Macaca mulatta: one gene and its partners. The protein of the gene in region 3 interacts with the protein of the main gene of each other region in a pairwise test. Links are inferred from orthologs where the notes say so. Each region holds a gene or a part of one and is shown on either strand. Other genes may lie near its edges. The genes, in order: MAGED1, TTC19, CCDC33, BCCIP, EMD and ABCF3.

Evidence for each region.
Region 1: the proteins of CCDC33 (region 3) and MAGED1 interact in a two-hybrid assay, tested with the Homo sapiens proteins (2 studies listed by BioGRID and IntAct). The two-hybrid records come from large-scale screens. The link is inferred for Macaca mulatta from reciprocal best matches to the Homo sapiens genes CCDC33 and MAGED1.
Region 2: the proteins of CCDC33 (region 3) and TTC19 interact in a two-hybrid assay, tested with the Homo sapiens proteins (2 studies listed by BioGRID and IntAct). The two-hybrid records come from large-scale screens. The link is inferred for Macaca mulatta from reciprocal best matches to the Homo sapiens genes CCDC33 and TTC19.
Region 4: the proteins of CCDC33 (region 3) and BCCIP interact in a two-hybrid assay, tested with the Homo sapiens proteins (3 studies listed by BioGRID and IntAct). The two-hybrid records come from large-scale screens. The link is inferred for Macaca mulatta from reciprocal best matches to the Homo sapiens genes CCDC33 and BCCIP.
Region 5: the proteins of CCDC33 (region 3) and EMD interact in binary tests that used the Homo sapiens proteins (3 or more experiments, as listed by UniProt). The two-hybrid records come from large-scale screens. The link is inferred for Macaca mulatta from reciprocal best matches to the Homo sapiens genes CCDC33 and EMD.
Region 6: the proteins of CCDC33 (region 3) and ABCF3 interact in a two-hybrid assay, tested with the Homo sapiens proteins (2 studies listed by BioGRID and IntAct). The two-hybrid records come from large-scale screens. The link is inferred for Macaca mulatta from reciprocal best matches to the Homo sapiens genes CCDC33 and ABCF3.

Annotation. Positions count from the first base shown.
Region 1 is NC_133426.1:51,753,049-51,757,208, reverse strand, and holds the start of MAGED1 (melanoma-associated antigen D1), read right to left. Parts: upstream 2,801-4,160; 5' UTR 2,790-2,800; coding exon 2,745-2,789; intron 1-2,744. UniProt on the Homo sapiens protein: Involved in the apoptotic response after nerve growth factor (NGF) binding in neuronal cells. Inhibits cell cycle progression, and facilitates NGFR-mediated apoptosis. May act as a regulator of the function of DLX family members.
Region 2 is NC_133421.1:18,121,214-18,124,713, forward strand, and holds part of TTC19 (tetratricopeptide repeat protein 19, mitochondrial), read right to left. Parts: intron 3,257-3,500; coding exon 3,218-3,256; intron 2,218-3,217; coding exon 2,161-2,217; intron 1,846-2,160; coding exon 1,784-1,845; intron 1-1,783. UniProt on the Homo sapiens protein: Required for the preservation of the structural and functional integrity of mitochondrial respiratory complex III by allowing the physiological turnover of the Rieske protein UQCRFS1.
Region 3 is NC_133412.1:52,149,562-52,153,797, reverse strand, and holds the start of CCDC33 (coiled-coil domain-containing protein 33), read right to left. Parts: upstream 2,801-4,236; 5' UTR 2,416-2,800; coding exon 2,395-2,415; intron 1-2,394.
Region 4 is NC_133414.1:137,877,323-137,881,597, reverse strand, and holds the start of BCCIP (BRCA2 and CDKN1A-interacting protein), read right to left. Parts: upstream 2,801-4,275; 5' UTR 2,789-2,800; coding exon 2,624-2,788; intron 1-2,623. UniProt on the Homo sapiens protein: During interphase, required for microtubule organizing and anchoring activities. During mitosis, required for the organization and stabilization of the spindle pole.
Region 5 is NC_133426.1:160,532,518-160,536,768, forward strand, and holds EMD (emerin), read right to left. Parts: upstream 2,801-4,251; 5' UTR 2,703-2,800; coding exon 2,621-2,702; intron 2,498-2,620; coding exon 2,393-2,497; intron 2,228-2,392; coding exon 2,150-2,227; intron 1,936-2,149; coding exon 1,802-1,935; intron 1,348-1,801; coding exon 1,298-1,347; intron 1,214-1,297; coding exon 886-1,213; 3' UTR 479-885; downstream 1-478. UniProt on the Homo sapiens protein: Stabilizes and promotes the formation of a nuclear actin cortical network. Stimulates actin polymerization in vitro by binding and stabilizing the pointed end of growing filaments. Inhibits beta-catenin activity by preventing its accumulation in the nucleus.
Region 6 is NC_133407.1:96,327,590-96,330,200, reverse strand, and holds the end of ABCF3 (ATP-binding cassette sub-family F member 3), read right to left. Parts: intron 1,872-2,611; coding exon 1,783-1,871; intron 1,676-1,782; coding exon 1,584-1,675; intron 1,406-1,583; coding exon 1,273-1,405; intron 1,142-1,272; coding exon 1,054-1,141; intron 966-1,053; coding exon 807-965; 3' UTR 501-806; downstream 1-500.

The DNA of each region.
Region 1 (4,160 bases), on a different chromosome or scaffold from region 3:
AGAAATGTGTTCCCCCTTTAATAATGGGAGTCAGGAATCACTGCTATCATCCCTTTCATTCATTATACTGAAGACCCTATCCAGAGGTGCGGGAGGAAGTAGGAGGAAGGAGGAAAAGGAGAAGGCAGAAGAGAGTAAGGATTAGAAATGAATAAAGGAAACTATTAATATTTAGAGTTGATAAGATTCCCTACATAAAAAACTTATGAGAATCTTAACCCTTTCTAAACTCTCAGCTGAACTTGTACTTCTGGGCAAGATGGAATGACAGAGACCATTTACCCAACTAGTTGAAAAATTAAAAAGTAAATTGTTTTCAGAACAATAGATATCAGGTAGTGAGGGCCAATAATCCTTGAGAAATGGTAAAGAAACAAGGTGACCCTATAAATGCCCCAGCATACTTCCCTGAGAGAATTTTCAGATTATGCCACAGGCAAGGGTAATAACTGAGACAGAACCTGGCAGATCCCCTGAGGTAAGAAGACAACACTCAGAGTCCAGTGAGAAGGCAGCTAAAATCTGCAGGTAATAGTTAGCAGAATGGGGAAACAGTGCAGAAAAAGAACTCCTGAGATTTGTAAAGGGTCCATTGAGTATTCAACAGAGTATACATTAGTGTATATAGAGGAAACTACCCAAGGCAGGGGAGAGAACCATTTGAAATCACTAGAAAGAACACTTTTCATCACTTACACTGGGACAGGAACAGCACCTGTTACCAACAGCCAGCAAGGAATAATTTTCCATAGACTGAGCACCACCCTGGTTCCACCTAATCAATCTTAAAAGCAAGACATAAAAGGATCAAACTGTTTCCATGTAGTTTCATCATATTCCAGAATAAAGCTCAAGAAATTTTTAGTTATATAAAAATATCTAGCATCCAACAAGGTAAAATCCACAAGGCTTGAATGTAAACAAACATCACCAGCAATGCAAAGAAGCTTGAAATTATTTTTTTAAAAAAATCAATAAATTGAAACCAACCAACAATTGATGCAGATGTTAGAGTTACCAGACACGGACATTTAAAAAGTTATGACATAATCTATTCATTTACAAAGTTAAGTAGAGGCATGGAAAACTATAACAAAGACGCCCAAATTAAAATTTTAGAGATGTAAATAATAATATCTGAGCTTAAAAATACGCCAAATTGGATAAATGACATATTAAACTATGGAAAAGGAAAGATTAAAGAATTTGAAAACAATGGAAATAAGAATCATCCAAAATGAAACCGACAGAAAAGAATTTTTTTGAAGTATGAAGAATATCAGTGGACTGTTGAACAATGGCAAGCAACTTAATACACAGGTAATTAAAGTCCCCAAAGAAGATGAGAGGAGTATTAATACTTTTCACCCGGCAGATCCCCTGAGGTAAGGAGATGATTCTCGGGAGAGGAAGGCAGCTAAAATTCTTAGCCACTGTTTCTTCATATGTTACTATTAATTGTGGGTTTTGCCATTATTTTAGTGATAATTTTAACCCCCAAATCAAAAAATATCAACATATTTGGTGCAAAAGAAACATGAAGGAAACTACAAGGCTCATCACAATCAATCTGATTAAGAGATTTTTTTAAAAACTCTGGAAACAATGCAGGAAAAACAAAAAGACACATTAATAACAAAGAAACAAATAAACTAAATTAGTACAATCCCCAACTTATGATGGTTCAACTTATGCTCTTTCAACTTTACAATGGCGCAAAAGCGATATACATTCCATAAAAAATAAACTTTGAGCACCAATACAGCCATTCTGCTTTTCACTTTCAGCACAGTATTCAATAAGTTATATGAGCTATTCAACATTTTATTATAAAAGAAGCTCCGTGTTAGATGATTTTGCCCAACTGTAGGCTGATATTAAGTGTTCTGAGCATGTTTAAGGTAGGCTAAGCTAAGCTACAATGTTTGCTAGGATAAGTGTATTAAATGCATTTTCAACTTACAGTATTTTCAACTTAAACAGGTTTATCGGGATTTAATCCCATTGTAAATCAAGGAGCATCTGTATAACCTTCCCACAAGGAAATTTTAAAGAGTCAGATGACTTCGCTAGCAAATTCTACCAACATTTTAAAAAGAAATAATACCAGTACTACACAAACTTTTCCAGAAAATTAAAGAATAGCAAATACTTCCTAACTCATTCTATGAGGCCAGTATGGTCCTGATACAAAAACCAGACAAAGACATTACAAGAAAAGAAGTAACTTATACAACAAAAAATAAATAGATCAAAGTCCTAAATGGGAAAAATCAACTTTAAAGGTTTTAGAACATTTAGAAGAGCATTTTTATAACCTCCAAATCAGAGAAATATTTCTTAAAGATACAAAGATCAATCATAAATAAAAAGACTGGTAGATTTGATCAAAATTTATATCAAAATTCATCACCTCTGTACTACAAAAGAAACCGTTAAGGTAAAAAGACTAACTACGGACTGAGAGCAGATATTTGCAACACTAACAAGGAATCCATATCCAGAATATAAATGTAACTTCTACAAATCAATAAGAAAAAACAAAAAGTATCCATAGAACCATTGTTTTCAACTATAAAAAAAAAGGAAACAACCTAATATCCATTAACAAAAGAACACTGAAATAATTTTTTGAATACTCCACAAAGACGGGATGGACACCAGTTCAAAATTTGGTTTGAATGTCAACACCAATGATACCAAACAAACACACACCAACATTCATAAAAAAGCTGATTACTCACATAATGAGGTTTTCTGCAGAGAGCAGGGGTGGCTCTCAGACACATCCAAACATGGCTTTATAAAGCAAGGAGAGAACACTGGCTTGGGTTTTTATGGTGGTTGGGGGTGGGGCTGGGGTGAGGATTCTCACCTGTGGTTTGAACTTTACACTGGTGGTAAAGAACACTGCATCATGGCTTTCTTATCTTGCTCAGATGTGGGACAGAGGGAGAACAGGGAGAGATAAGACTTCAAAGCTGTCAGCAGTCAAACATTAAAAATGGAGTGAGACTTTTAATTATGATTTTATACGAGATTATAAATAGATGCATGAGTTTTATATTCATTAATGAGCCTGACAAATACCATGATGAACAATAAAAAAGCAGGTTTGTAGAAGAATGCATACATTTCTGCCATATAAATAATGTTCAAAAAAGCAAAATAATTTCATATATTTCAAGTGATATTTATATAAGTAGGAAAATCAAAAGAAATGCAAAGGAATGATAAATACTGAATTGAAGATAATGGCAACATGTAGAGAAAAAGGAGTAGGATGTGATTGGGGGTTCATAGAGGGGACTTCAATTGCATTGCGATTTTCTAAATGTATTGAGTTAGGCAATAAATGCAAAAGTGTTCATTGTTTTATTATTATTTACACTTTTCTGCATGTTTTAATATTTTGTAATTTTATAAAGTGGAAGTCAGCTTTTAATACATATAGTGCCCCTAGTTAAATATCTTTAAATATCCTGACTATGGTAAAGTCTCAAATCAAATAAATCTTAAATTACTTGGTGTTCTCCAGCTTCTGACAACCACAGAGAAAAAGTAGACACTTTACTAATATGAATAACACTAATAAATGAAATTTAATAAAACAAGTTTTCTCCTATATAGATTAAGAATCTTCAAACATAATTTAGTTACAAGTATTTAATTATTCAGATAAAAGTTACAAAATGGTTAGCATAAAAAGTAATGACAGATGAAACCCTGTAGTACTTAATGTAAAAAAACTGATTCAGCAACAGCACACTTACTGAGATTTTTTAAGAAATTAAAGGTACCTCACATTCGAGGAATATAGAAAAAAATTAAATGTATGTGTGTGGGGTGGGAGAGATTGGTTGACTGACTTATGGTATCAGAGAACAATTCCACTATTTTATTCCTGTAGAAAAAAAAAAAAAAAAAAACGACAAAAAACTAGCCGGGCGATGCGGCGGGCGCCTGTAGTCCCAGCTACTCGGGAGGCTGAGGCAGGAGAATGGTGTGAACCCGGGAGGCGGAGCTTGCAGTGAGCTGAGATCCGGCCACTGCACTCCAGCCTGGGCGACAGAGTGAGACTCCGTTTCAAAAAGAAAAAAAGAAAAAAAGAAAAACGAAATAAAGTAATTTCTACCACTTTTTACCTCCTGAAATCTAAC
Region 2 (3,500 bases), on a different chromosome or scaffold from region 3:
ATGGGAAGAGGGAACTTTGTTTAAAGTCTAAGGAGTGTCAAATCTGCCATTTCTCAAAGTAGTTAAAAGTCATCCATTTAATATAACTTAATACACAAAAAGCTAGGAATGCTGCCCTAATTTTAATAACTGACATAGCCAGCGGTCTTCATCATCTCCCACTAACAGATGGTCTCCAGTGAATCAGTTTCTCCATGTGCGAAAGTCTTACCTCTGTTCAAACTAATACTACCCTGAACAGAGGTTCAGGCCACCCTGCAGTGAGGATTCCAACTGTTGACCTCATACAGCTTCTCAGGAGCTTTAGTCATTTTATATTTATTTCAAGCTGTAGGTCTCTGATAAAAGTTTCTTTTGCAGAAATGGAACTCCTAGCTGTGGCAATAGAAGTCGTTTAACCCAACTCTGTAGCCCTGGACCCTCAATCAATTGGAGAGGGTTCAGTTAACCCAAGCAGGCTGGCTGACTGCTGCTTTTTACAGAGATGCAGAGGAAATGTGACAGAAATCCCTTCTCCATTTAGGAACTCAGTTTTGGTTCTTGTTCTTCGGTTTTGGCTCTAGTTTCTTACAGAAGTGGCACTAAAAGCTCATCTTTTCTCTAGTGCTTTGCCGGGGGAGAACTTATGACCCTACTGTTCTGCTCTGTTCTCAGAAGAAGAGAAGCATCCCCTTCCTTCCCTAGACTCAAAACTTGGCAAGAGGGCCCTCTCCAGCCATAACACAGGGCAAGTGGATGCTGCCCACAAGATGCTCCCAGTCAGAGCAAGAGGTCCACAAACAATTCCCCTCCTAACTTATATCAGCCTTTCGAAGCCTCAGATCTGGCCATGTCTTTTCTAGTCTCATGCTTGTCTTAATAAAACAAAATAAAAAGTACAGTATACCATGTAACTTAGAGGCTAATTGTTACTAGCTTTCACGTCTATAAGACTATGAATTTGTCTTATTCAACAACGTTTATTAGCTCCGGGCTTCTTCTTACCCTAGGAGTTCATACCCAATCAAGAACTAGGCATGTTTGTTACAATTCCAAGGAAGATTGACCAAGCTGCAGTGTTCTCTGGCATAGGCCAAGCTCAAAGCTCCTCAAAAGACATGAAGTCAAAGGCTCTAGGAAGCTCTAGCCTATCTAGTGTCCAATCAAAATGCAAGGAGACTCTGCAGGTCCTGATGAGAACAAAGGAGCTGGTGAGTAGGACAGCAGGGACCAGTACCAGGGCCTGGTCTCGGTAAGCACCCTTTCTACAGCATCAGGCTCCGTGTCACTCCAAACCTCTAGCACCAACTTCTGCACCACTAAAACCCTAAGTGAAGCTAGTCTTAGGTCTCTCCCTAAATTCACCCCAAATACAACTCCCTAGAGGAGTTCTCTGCTTACATCCTAGATGCTTCATCTTTGAACTCTATCTATACCAGCAAAATGGCTTCTTCAGAGTATTAATATATTATCCCCAGCAGCTTTCACACTGCTCTTTCCTCTTCTAAAAAAGTTAAACTAAAGTTGTAACTCTAACTTCCCTTCCCACTTCAAGCAGCAACAGAAAACTTAGCTTTGTCACAGGGCAGCCAGAGATGCTGTGTGCCCCACTAGGCAGGCTACTGGAAACAGGAGGGGCAAACTGGAAAAGACTGACAATTCCAAAGATGAGGGACAGAACACTTTTTGAGTGTGGCACCCAATTTCTGGGAGACCCAGATGACCAGCAGGCAATGAATATTATGTAACATCCCAGAGTCAAACTTTTCTGCCCACAGTCCTACTCCCTGGCTGCCGTACTTACCTATTCTGCGCAGCATAGATACTAGCCAGCTTTAGGGAAATTTCAATTATGGCATTGTCCTCCTGTGAGAGAAAGAGAATGAAGAGAATTCATAACAAGTCAAATATTCAAATTGGATTATTTCAGATCAACTTCCAGACTGACGGTGGCCTCAAAGCCACAGTCTTTATTCTTTTAGAGTGATTAGCCAACTGTGAATTCCTTGGCGAACATGCTGTTGCATTTAGTGAAAGAACGTCTATTTGTATACAGATCTCAGAAGGGAAACTCCACCTTTCCTGACCAAAGCGTATGGTGGGGCTAGCAGGAGTTTTCAGCAGACAAGACTGTTCTGAAAACTGCTTCAGTGAGGGGCCAATACTAGGCAATGTCCTTACCTGCTTCATGCCCCCTCCAAGGAGGTAACTCATTGTTGCTTTAAAAAGTTGTTCAGCCTAAAAGCATAAGAAAAAGATTTTTCTTTTAATTGGGACCCATTATATATATATGGCCCCGGATTCTAAGTACCAATCTGATGTATCATTCCTTGTAAAGCCCATATACTCACACACATGCACACTCACACACAGAAAAGTACCCTTTTGAAAGGAAAACAGATCAAAATATCAGGACCCCCAGCATCCTCTATGTACCTTAAACTACTCTCTGATGAGCAGAAAACAACCTCAGAGATTAACTTCTTATCCAAACCCACTGTGGCAGAGACTACAAACTGTCTCCTAATAGTCATTCTGCTTCTCCATCTTTTTGATTACAGAGTCCCCTCAATTTAGCCTGGGAAACATGGTGAAACCCCGTCTCTACAATAAATAAATAAATAAATAAATAAATAAATAAATAAGAAAATTAGCCAGGTGTTGTGGCACACGCCTGGAGTCCCAGCTACTCAGGAGGCTGAGGTGGGAGGATCAACTGAGCCTGGGAGGTCAAGGTTGCAGTCGGCCGTGATCAAGCCACCACACTCCAACCTGGGCAACAGATCAAGACCTTATCTTAAAAAAAAACATTCAGTCAATTTTAGCAGCTTGGACACCCTGAAGTTAGATATGGTCATATGATAAAATTTAGGCAAAGGGATGCAGGCAAAAAGAACATGAACTTCTAAATCATATTTTATAAGGAAGCTGCTCACAGTCCATCTTCTCCCGCTTCCTGCAGGCTGGAGGTGAGGCAGTTCACCCAGGCAGATGAGGGCTTATCTTAGAAGGAACCTGGACTTCTGGATCAGAGAGCAATGGTGCCTATGTCTATCTGCCTTCAGTCTTTAGCCTATCTCTGGACTAACACAATAAAGAGAAATACACTTGTATCTTGTTTGAGTCACTATATTGTGGGGTCTCTTTGTTATAGCAGCTTATCCTGTACCCTTACTATCACAGTACCCTTGAAGCTACTCCTTCACAAATTCAAGACATTGCAAAGTAATTTACTTACATTTTCAAGCTGACCCCGTATAAATGCTAAGTTGGCCATCTGAAAGCAAATTACAAATTGTTTTTCAGTTTAGAGTACTGTGTTCCTACTTATTTCAAAACTTTAAAATTCCCTTTTGCTTTCACCCTCAAAATTAAAAAAAGTTTAAAATGAAAAGCATGTCACCAATTAATCTGCTAGAAGCGCAGAACAGCAATCATGTGAGAAGTAAATACTTGCACATACTTTGTTGTTAACAAACCAAATCTAGGTCCACTCATCATTAAAGAAACATGCTAATGAT
Region 3 (4,236 bases):
CAAACTCTTCCACCCACGCCTCCCTTGCCACCCCTCTCCTCCAGCAGTCTGGGAGGCCTGAGGAGCTGAGCCCGGTTCTGCCCTCCAGAAGGACCCTGCATCTGAAAAGTCACACCAGCTGGAGAGGGGCTGGGCTGCGAGGCAGGGTGCCTGACTGCCCGGATCTGTCATTTAGGCGAGTTATTTGACTGCAGTGGGGCTATTTCCCAGCAGTTTCACAAGGACTTTCAGTTAAAAATGGTTCCCCATGTTCCTTCTAGCTTTGGCATCTAAACTTGCCTGGGAGTTACGGTGGTCAGGGGAAAGCTCTTTTTCAGGTGAGGAAGCACACTCAGAGAAAGTAAACCTCTTGCGTGAAAGCACACGGCTTAGCTAGTGGGGCCGGGGCTGGAACTGGAAGCAGGGTCCGTCTGACCCCACGCTCTTGCTGTCTCTGCTGTGCTCTGACCATGCTTCCTTGGATGTGGGTCCCTTCTCTGCTCCACAGTGGATACCCCGTTGAACTCATAACCTGAGTATCCATTGGTGGCAGCAAGAGGAATTGTGTTCTTTGGAGCAGAGAAGCATTCCCAAAGATGACACAAAAGTCAGAAATCATTAAAAAAGGATAGGTTTGATTACATTTAAAAAATCTATACAAACTTCTGTAATGATCCAAAATGCCCTGCAATACAAAGAAAAGGAAAAAAGGAGAAAATGTTTGCTATATATTTAAAAAAGGATTAATATCCGTAGTATACAAAGAGCACTGAAACCTATAAGCATTACCCAATTAAAAAAACATGAACTGGGTATTCACAAAAGAAGAAACACAAATATATATATTATATACATGATGAGCATCCTTTTTTTTTTTTTTTTTTTCTTTTGAGACGGAGTTTCGCTCTTTGTAGAGACAGGGTTTCAACATGTTGGCCAGGCTGGTCTCAAACTCCTGCCTTGGCCTCCCAAAGTGCTGGGATTACAGGAGTGAGACACTGTGCCTGGCCAACATCATTTTTTTTTTTTTTTTGAGACGGAATCTCACTCTGTTGCCTAGGCTGGAGTGCAGTGGAACGATCTCGGCTCACTGCAACCTTCATGTCCCAGGTTCAAACTATTCTCCTGCCTCAGCCTCCTGAGTAACTGGGATTACAGCTGTGTCCCACCAAACCCAGCTAATTTTTGTATTTTTAGTAGAGACGGGGTTTCACCATGTTGACCAGGCTGGTCTTAAACTTGCCTCAGCCTCGCAAAGTGCTGGGATTACAGGCGTGAGCCACCCCCCCGGCCATGATGAGCATCCTTATGGGCGATTCTACCCAGCTATCAAAGTGCTTCTCAAAGCTACCAATCAAAGCAACCTTGGCTCCTTCTCAGGACTCCCACGCACACTCCCTGGATCCCCAATCCCAGCTATGTGGGGCAGGTGGGGACCACCTGGCAGCTTAGGGTGCCAGATCAAACTGGTGCCTGGTCCTGAGTGTGTGGCATTACAGAAAGAGTCTTAATGGGGAGGGTGGAGTCTGCGGAGGTTCAGGGGCAGCTGTGGGCAGAGAACATCAGGAACCAGAGACATCAAAATCAAGGGTAATAAAGTGGAAATCACACTAAGGCCTGAGCACCCCCAGCTATTTGGCTTATTCAAGCTGAGTATAACTACAAAGAGGGTATTCCCCGTTTGCAAGTACCGATGTGCCTTTGGTCTCAGCTCCTTCTGGTATCCCTGTGGGTAACACCATCTAGGGCAGGGGCTCTGCCTTGCTAGTGAGAGGAAGGTAAGGGGTCCCTTGCACTGAACTGTTTATATCTCATTGCAATAAGATTCTAGTCCCTTCCTGGCAGAACCCTGCTGCTAGGCCACAGCTTTTTATTAAGCACCCACTATGTGCCAGGCACTGTTCTGAGTGCTGGGGATACAGAGATGAACAAAACACACAAAAATCCCTTCTCTCCAGAGACCCAAGCATCTGCGTTCCAGGGCAGGGGCCTAGGCCCCAGAAAATCAGGGCCAGGGCTAGGAGAGCATGGGGGCAGTGGGGGCATCAGGGCTGCCAAGGTAGCAGCCTGGGAATATCCTGGGAGATATTGGATGGGGGTAATGAACCATCTCAGTGGGCTCTCAGACTGTGTGACCCCAGCAACAAGAGGGCAGAAACAAGCAGGTAAGGGTGGTCAGCACTGACAACACCCGCAAGTACACTGCATTCCAGTTCCCACGTGGCCCAAGAGTATAGGGCAGCTAACCTGGGAGAGCCACAGAGACCGCCTCACTCCCCATTTCACAGCTGTGAAAACTGAGGCCCAGAGAAGGGAAGCTTTTGTCATGATTAAGGAACAAATGAAACTTTGAAGGAGAGACTTTGAAGGAGGGATGGATTCATGCAGGTGTGTGGCCCATTCCCCTGGCCTTACCTTTTTGTTTTTCAGTCCCATCCTCTTGAGGCCAGGAGTGTCTGGCCTTGTTTAACAATCTTGGGGACGAGTACCTGGTATAAGTGGGTGATCAGGCATCAGTCCTGCCCAGACAGTTGGCCTGGGCGTCTTGGAGTCCTTATGGTTAGTGGACAGTATGGAGGTCAATGTGGTCTCAGGGGTGCCACACACCAGCCCTGGGGTCTGGATGTTGGGGAAGGGGGAGGGTGGCCAGGTGGGGGCAGGTCCTCGATCTCTCAGCAGCAAGATGGTCTATGGGTGGAGGGGCCTAGGGGGTTGCAGGCCATGGCCAGTTGGACAGGGTCAGCAACGAGGCGATTGACTCTTGGCACTCCCAGGACGGTGGAGAGATGGGAGAGCCCTCTCTCTGCCCAGGCCTGGAAAAGCAGTGAGCTTTTCCACCTAGCTGGGTCACCTGGGCAACATTGTGTGATGTCACAGGGCAGGGCCAAAGTCACACAGGCACCTGTCCAGGTGCAGTGAGCTAGAACACGAATCTCTTTTCCCTATTCCTGGAGCTGTGTTCCACCTGCCGCCTGGCACTCAGGCCTCACCCTTCCTGTTCTTGGTGCCTCACATAGTCTCCACCGACCCTGTGGCATGGCCAGCCCCATGCCGCTCACACTGCAGCAAAAGAGGAAGCCAGACACTGCTCTCAAGAGCGTGGCAGCTTGATCGGTAAAACAGCTACTTCTGTTGAAGAATCTACCAGCCATCGTGCCTCTTTGGGTACCTATAGTCTTCCATTTATTTGATAATAATAAACACAAACTTCAAGAGGATGGTTTCTTCTGGGAGGGTGGGTGGGAAGATGGGGGAGAGAAGAGGGTAAGAGCATACATTCTAAACCTTTGGGTTTTTAGATTGGGTGGTCAGTTAATGGGAGTTCATTATATTATTGAAAATAAATTAGAATTAAACAACTAAAGAAAGCCATGATGGGCCAGTGATGGCACTAGAGTATGAACCAAAGATTGTGGTTCAGTTCTGAGTGCTGCAAGAAATTATTACGAAGACAAAGTATGTCTTTTAGTGGAGCATTTGCAGCACACCAGGCAGGGTTCTAAGTGCTTTTGGTGAGGTGAGATGGCAGAATGAGGAGAGGCTAGTCGTTGGCCTGGGGTGGGGAGTTGTTCTATAGAGAGGTGAGGTCTGAACTGGGCTTTGAAGGATCATCAGAAATCCTGGGCTAGAAGAGGAGGGATCTGGGGTGCTGGGTGGTGGTCAGAGGTGTTTGGGAGGCCCCTGTGGCCTGCCTCATTTCTACCTATTTTGGGCCCCATGTTGGAGATTCTTTTAATCTGGCCGAAGAGCAGGACCAGCCTGGCAGCCAGGAGGCAGAAGACTCCTGCTTTGCAGAGGCCTCCCAGCCTCCCTCTCTACCCCCCCTCCAGAAAGAGCAGCAGCGAGGATGTGGTTCTCCCCAGGTTAGAGACAGAAAAACTGAGGCTTTGTCTTTGATTAGAACTGAAAGGACCAGCCAAGACCACCCAGACACTGGTGGGAGATGGAAGTCGGGAACCCCACTCCTAATTTTCTCCCCGTCTAGGCCTGCCAAGAGTGGTACCGCTGGGGCTCTGGGACTGGGGGCCTGACCAGGAATGGCCTGGCTGTGAGCACTGTGCTTTATCTCCCTTGTGGGCCAGCATGTCCCAGCACAGTGTGTATGTGTGGAAAGGTCTCAGGGGCTGCTCCCCCAGTCTCCCTAAAGCACCTCTCTCCCAGCCTCTCAGGCCTGCTAAGTCTAGGAGGCTAGGCCAGCAGGGTGAGGGGGTGGGGAGCCATTGCTTCTTCTCCAGCAGCAGGACTAAAGAGGCAAGC
Region 4 (4,275 bases), on a different chromosome or scaffold from region 3:
TGCGCAAAAATCAAAATCACTTCAAAAGTCCCTGGAATTGTCTAGAGCTTGACTTAGCCCATGGATTTGAGGTTACACGTCATTTGCTTAGCAAATACTTATTAAGTACCAATCCAGGTACCAAGCACTGTGCCAGGCACTCAAGATGAAAAGGTTAGTAAGGCAGACACAAATGATCCTGCTCTCGTGCAGCTTACGATTTAGGGAGGAATACAGACATTAAGGAAATATTTATAGAAATAAATGTAAGTGCTATAAAACAAAGGTACACAGTGCTGTAACAACTTAAAAAATAAGAAGTCAGTCAGGAAAGGCTTCCTTAAAGAAGTGACACTTGAGCAAGGAACCAAAAAACGGCAAAGAGAGTTCCTGGTACAGGGAACGGAACAAACTAAGGCCCTAAGGCAGAAGGAGACACGATGAGTACAAGGGACTAGAAGAATGAATGTGTAGCTGGGCTCCCAGATCTCTATCTGCAAGACAACAGAATCTAGAAGATGGCACTAAAATGCCAAAAACAAAACCTCCTTCCTTTTAAACACTAACAAGATCAGTCCTTGAGGACCCTAAATCATACCTTGATAAGTGACACAATGAACTTGGGGCTCTGATGAAATAATATATTTTGAGGCACTTCAGGTTTTAATGGTTTGGGAATTTAGATCTTAGCTGAAGGACATCATAGAGGAAATCAGACCCCCTTTTACCTTGCCACCCTAACTACATATATATCTAAGGCTTCCTTAATTGTTAAATGTGCAAGGCCCTGGAATTTTGAAGCAATTCCAGCTCCAATTTGAACTCTTTTAAGTCCAGCTTTGCAGACTTCAAATGCTAACTCAGCCAGATTATGTGAGCAGCAAAACAAGGGGTCAGGTGGGAGTGTTTCAAACAGGATCAAACTAAACCAAATAACAAATTGTCATTATTCAGGACTTAAACTTATTCCTTAGACATAAATACATTCTGTAAATGATGCTCATCTAGTGTTTTTTTGTTTTTTTGCTTTTTTTTGCCTAGATAGATGTTTTCGACCTCTGTCCCAGACTATGATGGCACCACCAGGGAAATGGGCAGCAAATGGAGTATATGTCCAGCACCCTTTTCCTGGGTATGGGCTCATCTCCACATGGTTTCAGCAGGAACAGTCATGTTTGTAGAAAAGAGCCCTGTCCCTCATTCCCAAGTGATTTAGAATTAAGACTGTGGTGGTCTGATAGATTTCCCATGTTAACACAAGAAGCACTGATTTCTATAACCCAAAAGTAATAAAATAGCTAGTTAAAGTTCTAAGTGAAAAATGGTGAGATGGCATTCAAGGCACAGAGCCAAAGTAAAGATCTGTAAGGAAAGACTGATCACCTGCACACGTCATGGTGTCAACTCTAATCCTGCATCCATGCTTCTCTGTATCCTCCCCTCCATGCTCTTCATGACTGACTCATGGTTACCGCTGATTTTATTTCCTATCACTCTCTCTTCCTTATTCTGATCCAGCCATCCAGGCTGCCTTTCTGTCCCTCAAACGTAAGGATTCTGGATTTTCTTATAAATGAACTAGAAAGCCAATGGAGCACTCTGAGCAGAGGCGTGAGATCAGACCCACAAGATCTCTCTGACTGTAGATGGAGTATAGACTGATTGTAGGGAAACAAGAATGGAGAAAAGCACGCCGGTTAAAAGCTGTTATATTAAATAGTAGTCCAGGCAAGAGATAATGGAGGTGTGGACTACGATGGTCTCATAATCAGTGCTGAGAAATGTCTGGATAACAGGATTTACTGATGGACTGAATATAGGATGAGGAAAGGGAGGAATTAAAGTTAAGGAATTAAAGTTTTGGGTTAGAGCAGCTGGTGATTTTAGGGGCCATTTACAGAAACGGTGACGGTTAAGAGAGGGGCATGAATTATTATACAAATCTGCTTTGGACAAGTTAAGGTTGAGGTATCTATTTACACATTCAGTGGTCTGAAGGACCATTCAGTCCTAATTATTTATTAAACAAATAATAAGTACCTATATTTCCAGGCACTATAGGACCTATTCTGAAGAAAAGAACCCAGTTCTATAAGACTATGAAGCCAAAGATTTACCTACGATTTGGGTCAGCTGCCCCAGGAGCCAGAAAATACAGCCTAGCTGAGATCTGAAGAAGGGAAAACTCTGCAGGATGAAGAAGAGCGTCTGAAAAAGCTGCTACGGTAGAACCCGGCAGGAGCCTTCAAGAAACCGAGGGCCCACGTGAGTGCCGCCCGCAGAATGAAGAGGTCAGCTGCTGCCCTGCGGGGAGAGGGCCCCTTCTGCGGGCCCGCGGTGGCCGATTCAGGATTTGAGGCTTCAGCCTGAGAACTAAAGAGGGCGAGAACACACCTGTTGCGGCGGGCTTTTTCGGGGGGCCGCGGGTTGCGAGGTTAACCGGACCGGAGTCGGCCTTTCAAAAATAACCACTGTGGCTGCAGTGTGTGAAAGACCGAGGAGAAACCTGAGAAAGAACTTATCTCCAGCTTTTCCTCACAGACCCTCAGGGTTAGGGAAGTCACTACGCTATTTTTACACAGCCTGGGCTTGCCAGAAAGTTTTTCTCAGGTATAAACCAACTAGGGAAGCGTGTCCTTCCCACCTCGTCAATGACGTCGTCCTCTTCATCCTCTTCCTCGTCACTGTCGTCATCGTCTTCGTCCTCATCCTCGACTTCATCTTCCTCTTCTTCGTCGCGCTGGACTAGGGGGTCCGGCGGCTGCGGAACCCCACTTTCCACGGCCCGCCGCTTAGGCCTGGACGCCATGTTACCGCTCACACTGCGCCTGCGCAGCTTCCCCCTGCCTGACCTTCCGGATCAGTCCATAGTAGCCACGGGGGTGAGGGACTACGAAGAAGCTCGGAGCTGAGTGCACAACAACTCCAATGCCCCTGCTGGATTCCGCAGTCATGATCCCTTCCAGTTACGTCCAGCTTGCGGTCCTATCTTGCTTTTTTCTTCCTCTTTCCACCCTCCCTCACTCCTCCCAAAGCTTCCCCTCCCCTTCCCGTAATGGTTCAACCCATCTAACCTCTGTCCTCGATCCGTGGCCTGGATGTCGGTGCGCATGCGCGAGCGCCTAGCTGTGCGCGCGGCCGCCCCCGCATCCCGGGGCTGAGGTGCGGGGTCCGGCCCGCCGCGGCCCCTTAGGCTGCGCGGGCAGGGGGTGGCACCCCCTGTTGTCATTGCTCCTGCAGCCTCAGCAGCCTCTTCGCTGGGACTGCGCGACACCGCCCCCAGACTGGGTGCCCGCTGTGTGCCAGGCCCGGTGCTGGGCACGGTCCCGTCTCTTAGCCCATTCGAGCCTCCCCAGCCCCGCGAGGTAGGTGTCGCCGCCCGCGGTACCGGGTACAGACGCCGAGGCCCGCGGGCATGCAGGGGCCCAGCCCCGGGCAGTGTATTACACAGCGGGGCCAGGGCGCCGAGGCCTCTGCGGACACCTCCTGCCCAGGCGGGGAGGTCCGCGGCCCTTACGGCTGCGCAGGTGACGGAAGGCGCCTGGCCAACGTACCCTCGCCGCGCTTCTGGAGCGCGTTTCTTGACCTAAAAGTTTTTTTAAAGCCGGCACCGCAATTAAAAATGCTTCGGGGAGGGCGGGCGCGGTGGCTCATGCTTGTAATCCCAGCACTTAGGGAGGTCGAGGCAGGTGGATCACCAGAGGTCAGGAGTTCGAGACCAGCCTGGCCAACAGGGTGAAACTTCAACTCTACTAAAAATACGAAAATTAGCCGGGCGTGGTGGCAGACACCTGTAATCCCAGCACTTTGGGAGACCAAGAGGGGTGGATCACTTGAGATCAGGAGTTCGAGACCAGCCTGCCCAACATGGCGAAACCCCGTCTCCACTAAAAATACAAAAACCAACCAGGTGTGGTGGCGCGCGCCTGTAGTCCCAGCTACTCAAGAGGCTGAGGCAGGAGAATCGCATGAACCCAGGAGACGGACATGAACCCAGGAGACGGAGGTTGCAGTGAGCCCAGATCGCGCCACTGCACTCCACACCCCAGCGTGGGCGACAGAGGGAGACTCCATCTCAAAGATAAAAGAAGAGCTTCGGGGCCAGTGGGGGTAGTCTAGGTTAAAGACCCGAGCCTATTTTGAGAGAAGAGTGGAGGGGACTGTGGCCAACTGCAGAGCGCGCGCGCCTCTGCTGCCAACCCCTGTGGCAGGTGGGGATGTGGCCCAGGGCAGCCAGGTCTTTCCATTGCAAGAGAAACGGGGCTCATCAGCTTTCTAGGAATAAGATCTACCGTT
Region 5 (4,251 bases), on a different chromosome or scaffold from region 3:
CGGGTTCCCGCCATTCTCCTGCCTCAGCCTCCCGAGTAGCTGGGACTACAGGCGCCCACCACCTTGCCTGGCTACTTTTTTGTATTTTTAGTAGAGACGGGGTTTCACTGTGTTAGCCAGTATGGTCTCAATCTCCTGACCTCGTGATCCGCCCGCCTCGGCCTCCCAAAGTGCTGGGATTACAGGCTTGAGCCACCGCGCCCGGCTGCTTTGCCTGAATTTCTAAGTGGGTTCTCTGTATACGCCTTGTTGTACCACAATTATATGTATAAGCAGTTACAGGTGCTTTGGGGAATGAGTTAGGGAATAAAACTCCCAAACAAAACACAAACATCTCTGGGTAGCATTTGATTCCTATCCCCAGACCAAAGCAAAAATGCGGACCCAACAAAGCCAGATTGCAATCCTCGAGTCCCAAGACGCAGAGGCCCTTGCCATGGGAGCCCAACCCTCTCCTCCAGGAAGAGCCAACGCATTAAAAATAAATGGGGTTTTTATTGTGTGTCCACGAAAACAAAGGGTGGCCTTTGGTTAATCCCCCCCAACAAGATGACAAAAAGGAGGCATGCATGACAACAAGAACCATGTTCTCCTCTGACTGAGCGAGGCCTTGCCCTCCTGGACCCTAAGGGTTACAGGCAAGCAGGGCCAGGAGGCTGCCGAGGAAAGCACACTCAGGCCCCCATGGAGGGCCTGAATCTGCTGCCTCCCTGGTGGGACAAGGCAGGGGGAGCAAGCACTACTCTGGGCTAGGCCCAGCGCCCCCCAAGCAAGAACACATAAAAGCCCCTGCCCCTGCCCCTGCCCCCACCCCCACCCCCACCCCCACTGCTAAGGCAGTCAGCCAGGACTTCCCCAGAAGACCTGGCTCTGAAGCCCAGACCCTCATGGCTCCCTCTGGAAAGGGTTGCCTTCCTCAGCCTGCATGAAGTAGTAAATGAAAAAGAGGACGATCACAAAGACCAGGAAAAGCAGCAGCTGGCCCCAGAGTGGGACCTGGTGATCCTGGCCCAGCCCAGCCCCAGGAGCATGGTTTTCAGGCCGGATGGCACGGCGGGTGAGCCATGAAGAGGAAGATGATGAGGAGGACATAGAAGAGGTGGAGGAGGAAGTAGGATAATAGGACAGGTCCAGGGAGCTCCTGGAGGCTGAAACAGGGCGGTAGTGCGCGATGCTCTGGTAGGCACTGTCCCGGCCGTACATGGGGCGTTCCCTGAGGCAAAAGAGGGGAACAGGTGGGCCAGGAGCCTGGGTCCAGAACCAGCCCCTGTCCCTGGCCTTCCCCATACATACATACCTATCCTTGCACTCCTCTTCAGAAGACGACAAAAGGTCGTCATCACGTACCTGTAGAAGAGAGTCAAGGTGAGGGAACTGGCTGGCAGGGCCACAATGGCCCTGCCACGTCCCTCTCAAATTTCCCCAGCAGGTCCCCTCTGACCTTTGGTTAAAGGCCAGGGACCCACACCCTCCTGAATGACTCTGGGTGTTCGGCCTTTTATCCATGGGGCCTTGCTACTTGTGCTCATGCCCCAGCACCCCCCTTTGCCCCCAGGACTCTCAGGAAGAGCTGGAGCCTAGATCCCAGACCAGGGTGCAGGACGCATCCTATGTGCTCTAGTCACATAGTTCTGAGGGCTCCCCAAAGTAGGACCCTGACCAAACAGGTGTCTGCTGAGCCAAAGTCTCCCCAGAGGCCCAAGGGCCACCATTTGTACCCAGTGGCCCCCTGGATTTATCCAAACACAGCCGCGATCCCCTAGGTTGTACCCAAGTACAGTACGCCTGCCAACCAGCTCACCTGGTGGTGGAAAGTGTCAGCATCTGGGAGTGAAGTCACAGACTGGCGGAAGCCCCTGGACGGGCCCGCAGACTCGGGCTCCCCATAAGTCCTGGTAGTGAAGTAGCTCTCTTCATAGTAGTCGTCATTGTAGCCTTGGGAAGGGGGGCAGCGGTAGCAGAGGGGGCATCGGTGTGCCCCGCCTGGCCCGATGGCCCTAATCTGAATCCCATTTCGGGACCTGTGACAGTTTCTCCCTCCTAAGGCTGCTGGAGTGGTTGGGACTGAGGTCTCAGGTCCTCCCTGTGAGCGGGGTCCCTGACGCAGTCGGGTGAAGGTGCCAGCGTGCCCACCCAACCCCTGCCTTACCCTTGCTCTGGTAGAGTAAGGCGTCCTCTTTCTTGGGAAGATCATACATATCTGAATCCCCTGACGTCGAATTCAAGTCTGGATTGAAAGGAGGAGACAGAACTGTTTGCCCCCCCACCCCCACCCCCACCCCAAGACTTCCCTCCCCTTTCCCCAGTGCCGCTCTCGACCGGCACCCCTGCCACACCCTCGCTACCTCATCCTCCCCGCGTCCCAGGCCGTCCCCACAGGCGAGGCTCTCACCAGAGAAGCGATAAGAGGAGGCAGCGGACGAGCCGGGGGGCGAGAGCCGCCGCCTCTGGGTCTCATACTCGAAGATCTTCTGCTCGTAAAGCCTACGAGTTGATCCTGGCCGGACACGGGGCGGTCAGGGCCGCGGTCCGGGGAAGGGGCGCGGGGAGGGCAGCGGGGAGGTCGCGGGGCGGAGCACGAGGAGGGGGCCCGGAAGGGGTCCCGCCCGCCGCCGCGTACCTACTACAGGCCCGTGCGGGATGTTGTACCGGCGCAGCAAGGCGGTCAGCTCGGTATTTGAAAGATCTGCGTAGTCGTCCATGGCGGGTGCGGGCTCGGGCGGAGGCCTGGCGGCGGCCCGGGCCTACCAAAACCGGCCGAGCAACGGCTGCCTAGGAGCACGGCGGGGGCGGCACGAGTGCATCGGGAGCGGCCGCACTCGCGTCACAGCCGAATCGCTGTCGCGTCACGGCCGCTGGCTTCGCAGGCTGCGCGCGCTGCGCTGGGCGGGACCTAACGGCGGGAGTAGCCGGCACAGACCGGCCGGGCCTTGAGAGCTGGGAGGCTGGGGCCGCGAGCCCAAACGTCATCAACTCACGGATTGGCTAGCGGCAGAGGGGGCGGGCCCCCGGGAGTCAGGGTGGTGGGAACCGGTCTCGCGGTGGGAGCGGGCGGGGCCGCAAGCCCATATGTCACAAACACGGGAATTGGCTAGTGATGGAGGGGGCGGGGCCCGCGCAGGCGCGGAGCAAAAGGTCTTGCGTTGGGAGCGAGCGGAGCGGAGAGCCCTTACGTCACAAACATGGGGATTGGCTAGCGATGGAGGAGGCGGGGCCCGCGCGGGCGCGGGGCAGAAGGTCTCGCGGTGGGAGCAAGCCGCGCCGCGAGGGGCGCCACACGTCACTAACGCACGGATTGGCTAGCGGCGTAGGCGGCGGGGCCCGCGCGGGAGTCAGGGCAATGCAAACTGGTATCGCAGTGGGAGTAGGCGGGGCTGCGGGCCCAAAAGTCACAAACGCATAGATTGGCTAGCGGCAGGGGGCGGGGCCCGCGCGGGAGTCAGGGCGACACGGCTGGGAGCCAAGACGTCACCCTGTGGCGCGCTTGAGCCAGCCGGGTGAGAGGGATGGGGCCTGCGCGCTAGGGACCCGGGACGTGCGAGCGGGCGAAGTCGGCGCTTGGGGTGGCTCTGGTCCCTAAGTCACTTGGACTTCGCCCGGTCCCTGCACATCCCTGCTCCCCGCCGTCGCCCCCCTTTCCTGGGCCCCAGAGCCTAGGGTTTCCCGGCCGCATCCCGGTCGGCCGCCCCGGCAGCGGACCCTAAGAGAGCGCGGGCCCGGGGCCAGGCACTGCCGGGGGCGCTTTGTGTGCGCATTGCTCGGGAAGCGGCTGCGGGGCAAGGCCCGCGCCTATGGGATCTCCGCAGACCCCCTGCCACGGGCCCTTCTTCCCAGTCTGCAGGGCTCTCGCCCGCGCACATGTGCCTGCTGCTTCCCACCGCCTACCTCTCTGCTTCCCTTCCTCCTCCCTCACTCTACCCGGGAGGAAATGGGGCACTGGGCCAGGAGGCCGCTGGCACTCCAGAAGCAAGCAGCCTTCGAAGGGGCCCGGGCATGCCGACGGGCACGCCAGTGGGCGCGGGCAGAGGGCGCCGTGCGATGCGTACAGAGACAACGTGTGCCCGCCTAATCCTTCATGCCGTTCATTCACCCGGGGCACTGGGGGGAGCTGCAGCGGGGCGTCCTCTCCTGTCGGAATAGTCCCTGAGGGCAGCGTGTCTAGGCAGGGGGCAGACGTCGGTGATGAGCTATGGAAGGCTGCCAAGGCCTGCTCAGGAGCCTGAACTGTGGCTAGGATTCCCAGGGCCTTGA
Region 6 (2,611 bases), on a different chromosome or scaffold from region 3:
CTCCTACATGGTTAGAGGAAATATAAAGAACATGCAATCACCTAAGCAAAGTGAGGACAAAGACAGTTTCTCTTCAGCGCTGAGTCTAGAGAGCAGAGAAGCAGGGCAAGCCGGAGCCAGATACCACTGGAGAAAGGAGCCAGCCACGTGTGAGGCCAGGTTACAGAATCAGTTCAACTGCCCATCAGTGGGGGCTGTGGTGGCAGAACCCAAGACCCCTTCAGCTGAGGCTGAGCCCAGGCTAGGGCTAACAGCACCGCAGTGATGCCAATACACTGCCCTTCATTCCACTGGCTCAGCCCACCCCAAGGTCAGGCAGGCAGATGACCTCAATGCCCCAGCAGCTTGACAATGTTTCTTCTAGAGGCAAGGCTGGTGCTGCCATTGCTTCCTCCACGTGAGTGATACAAGTGCCATAGGAAAAGGCCAATCTGAGAGTCCATAGCCCTCAATAGGAGGCAACCACTGCCCAGGGAGCAGCAGACATGAGGCAAAGGAGATGCAGGGAGACATTTAATTTACATAGCAGCCACTTGGGGTCCAGTCAGAGCTGGGGCAGTGGGGAAACCTATAACCCCAGAGGGTACCCCCAGACCCCCGGCCCCCGGGAAACCAGTCCTCACCAACCCTTGGATGGGCTCCCAAGGTTGTGCAGAAGATGCTCCAGTCAAAAGGAGAGAGACATTTGGGAATAAGGCTGTCCCCAAGTTGGGGGAAGTCCACGGCCTGGAGTTGGTGGCCTATGTGGTGGCCCAGGGGTCTGAGAGACCAGTCCATGTCCTGGGCGAGTCCTCAGCCTGGTAGCCCTAAAGGAAGCCTTCGCGGCGGAACTGTTCCTGGAGGAGGGCGCGGTACTGGTCAAATCCTCCTTCCACGCGGGTGACGCCGCCTCCTTCGCACACCCATAACTCCCGGCACACCAGCCTGATAAAGCGTTCATTGTGGGACACCAGAATCACACCACCCTGAAAGACACGAGAGCAGGAGGTGCTGAGGGGGACACGAGAGGCACCGAGGCCTGGGGAGGAGTGGGCAGGGTGAAGGCACACTCACCCTGAAATTGTTGAGGGCACGGCCCAGAGCCTCGATGGTCTCCATGTCCAGGTGGTTTGTGGGTTCATCCAGAATGTAGAAGTTGGGGCTGGAAGGCAGAACCCAGGAAGGTAGGCAGTGAAGGGGTGTGGTGAGAGAAAATAAAGCCTTCTGATACAGTTTTCTACTGGGCAAGAAGGGGAAATGGGAGGGGAAGAGCTCTAGAAAATGAGGCCTCACCAGGGCATAGTCATCTGAGCAAAGGCCACTCGGCTCTTCTGGCCCCCAGACAAGCTGGCAACAGGACGCATAGCCAGCTCTCCGGAGATGCCATACCGACCCAGCTGGTGACGGTACTCCTCCTCAGGCCGCCCTGGAAAAGGACTCCCCAGATCAGGTGGTTTCTTGGCCCAACTCCCTCCCTGTACCCTCCAGCCACACCTCCAAGTCCCCATCTAGGCTTGGGAGGGCTGCTCTGCACTCACTCCAAGGCAGGTCTAGCTGCCGGGGTCAGCCTCATCCCTCTTTCCCCACTCAAATCCCCAACTCACCAGGAAACTTGCGTGCCAGCAGTTCCACAGCACTGATGTTCAGGTCCAGCTGCTCCACGTGGTGCTGGCTGAAATAGCCAATCTTCAGATTCCTGAAGACAGAAACCGAGGTGGAAAAGCAGACAAAGGCAACAGCCATGAAGGAGTGCAGGAAGCATGGGTGCCTGCAAGTGTGCTCATGGGCGGGGGTGCCTCTGACCTGTGAGCGTGTCTGATGCCCCGAACAGGTGCCAGGTCCCCCATAAGCAGCTTCAGCATGGTAGACTTCCCGGCCCCATTCTCTCCAACCTTAAGAAATGTGAAAACGTCATACAGTGTGTGCCAGAAAAATAAATACTGTAAGTTCTCACTCATATGTGGGCACTAGAAAATGTTTAGCACATAGAAGTAGAGAGTAGAGTTCTGGTTACTAGAGGCTGGGAAGGGTAAGCGGGGAGGAGGGGAATTGAGAGAGGAGATCGGGAGAGGTTGGTTAACCAAAACAGAATTGTAGCTAGATAGGAGGAATGGAGGAATAAGTTCGAGGGTTCTACAGCACTGCAGGGACGCTACACTTCACAATGACTGATTGTACATTTTTAAAAAGCTAGAAGATTTTGAATGTTCCCAACATAAAGTGATAAATGTTTACGGTGAATATGCTAATTACCCTGATTCGAACATTACACATTGTATACATGTATGGAAATATCACTCTGTACCCCATAAACATGTATAATTACGTATCAATAAAAAGAGCACCGCTGTGTGTAACACAGAAGGGAAGGAAATTAGAAGGGGTCTCAGGCAGTCCCCAGTCCCAATGACTCCATCAACAACCAAAAAAATATTTTTAAGGACTCTAGCCGGGCGCAGTGGCTCACGCCTGTAATCCCAGCACTTTGGGAGGCCGAGGCAAGCAGACCATTTGAGGTCAGGAGTTTGAGACCAGCCTGGCCAACATGGTGAAACGCTGTCTCTGCTAAAAATACAAAAAATAAGTTGGGCATGGTGGCAGATGCCTATAATCTCAGCTACTCATGAGGCTG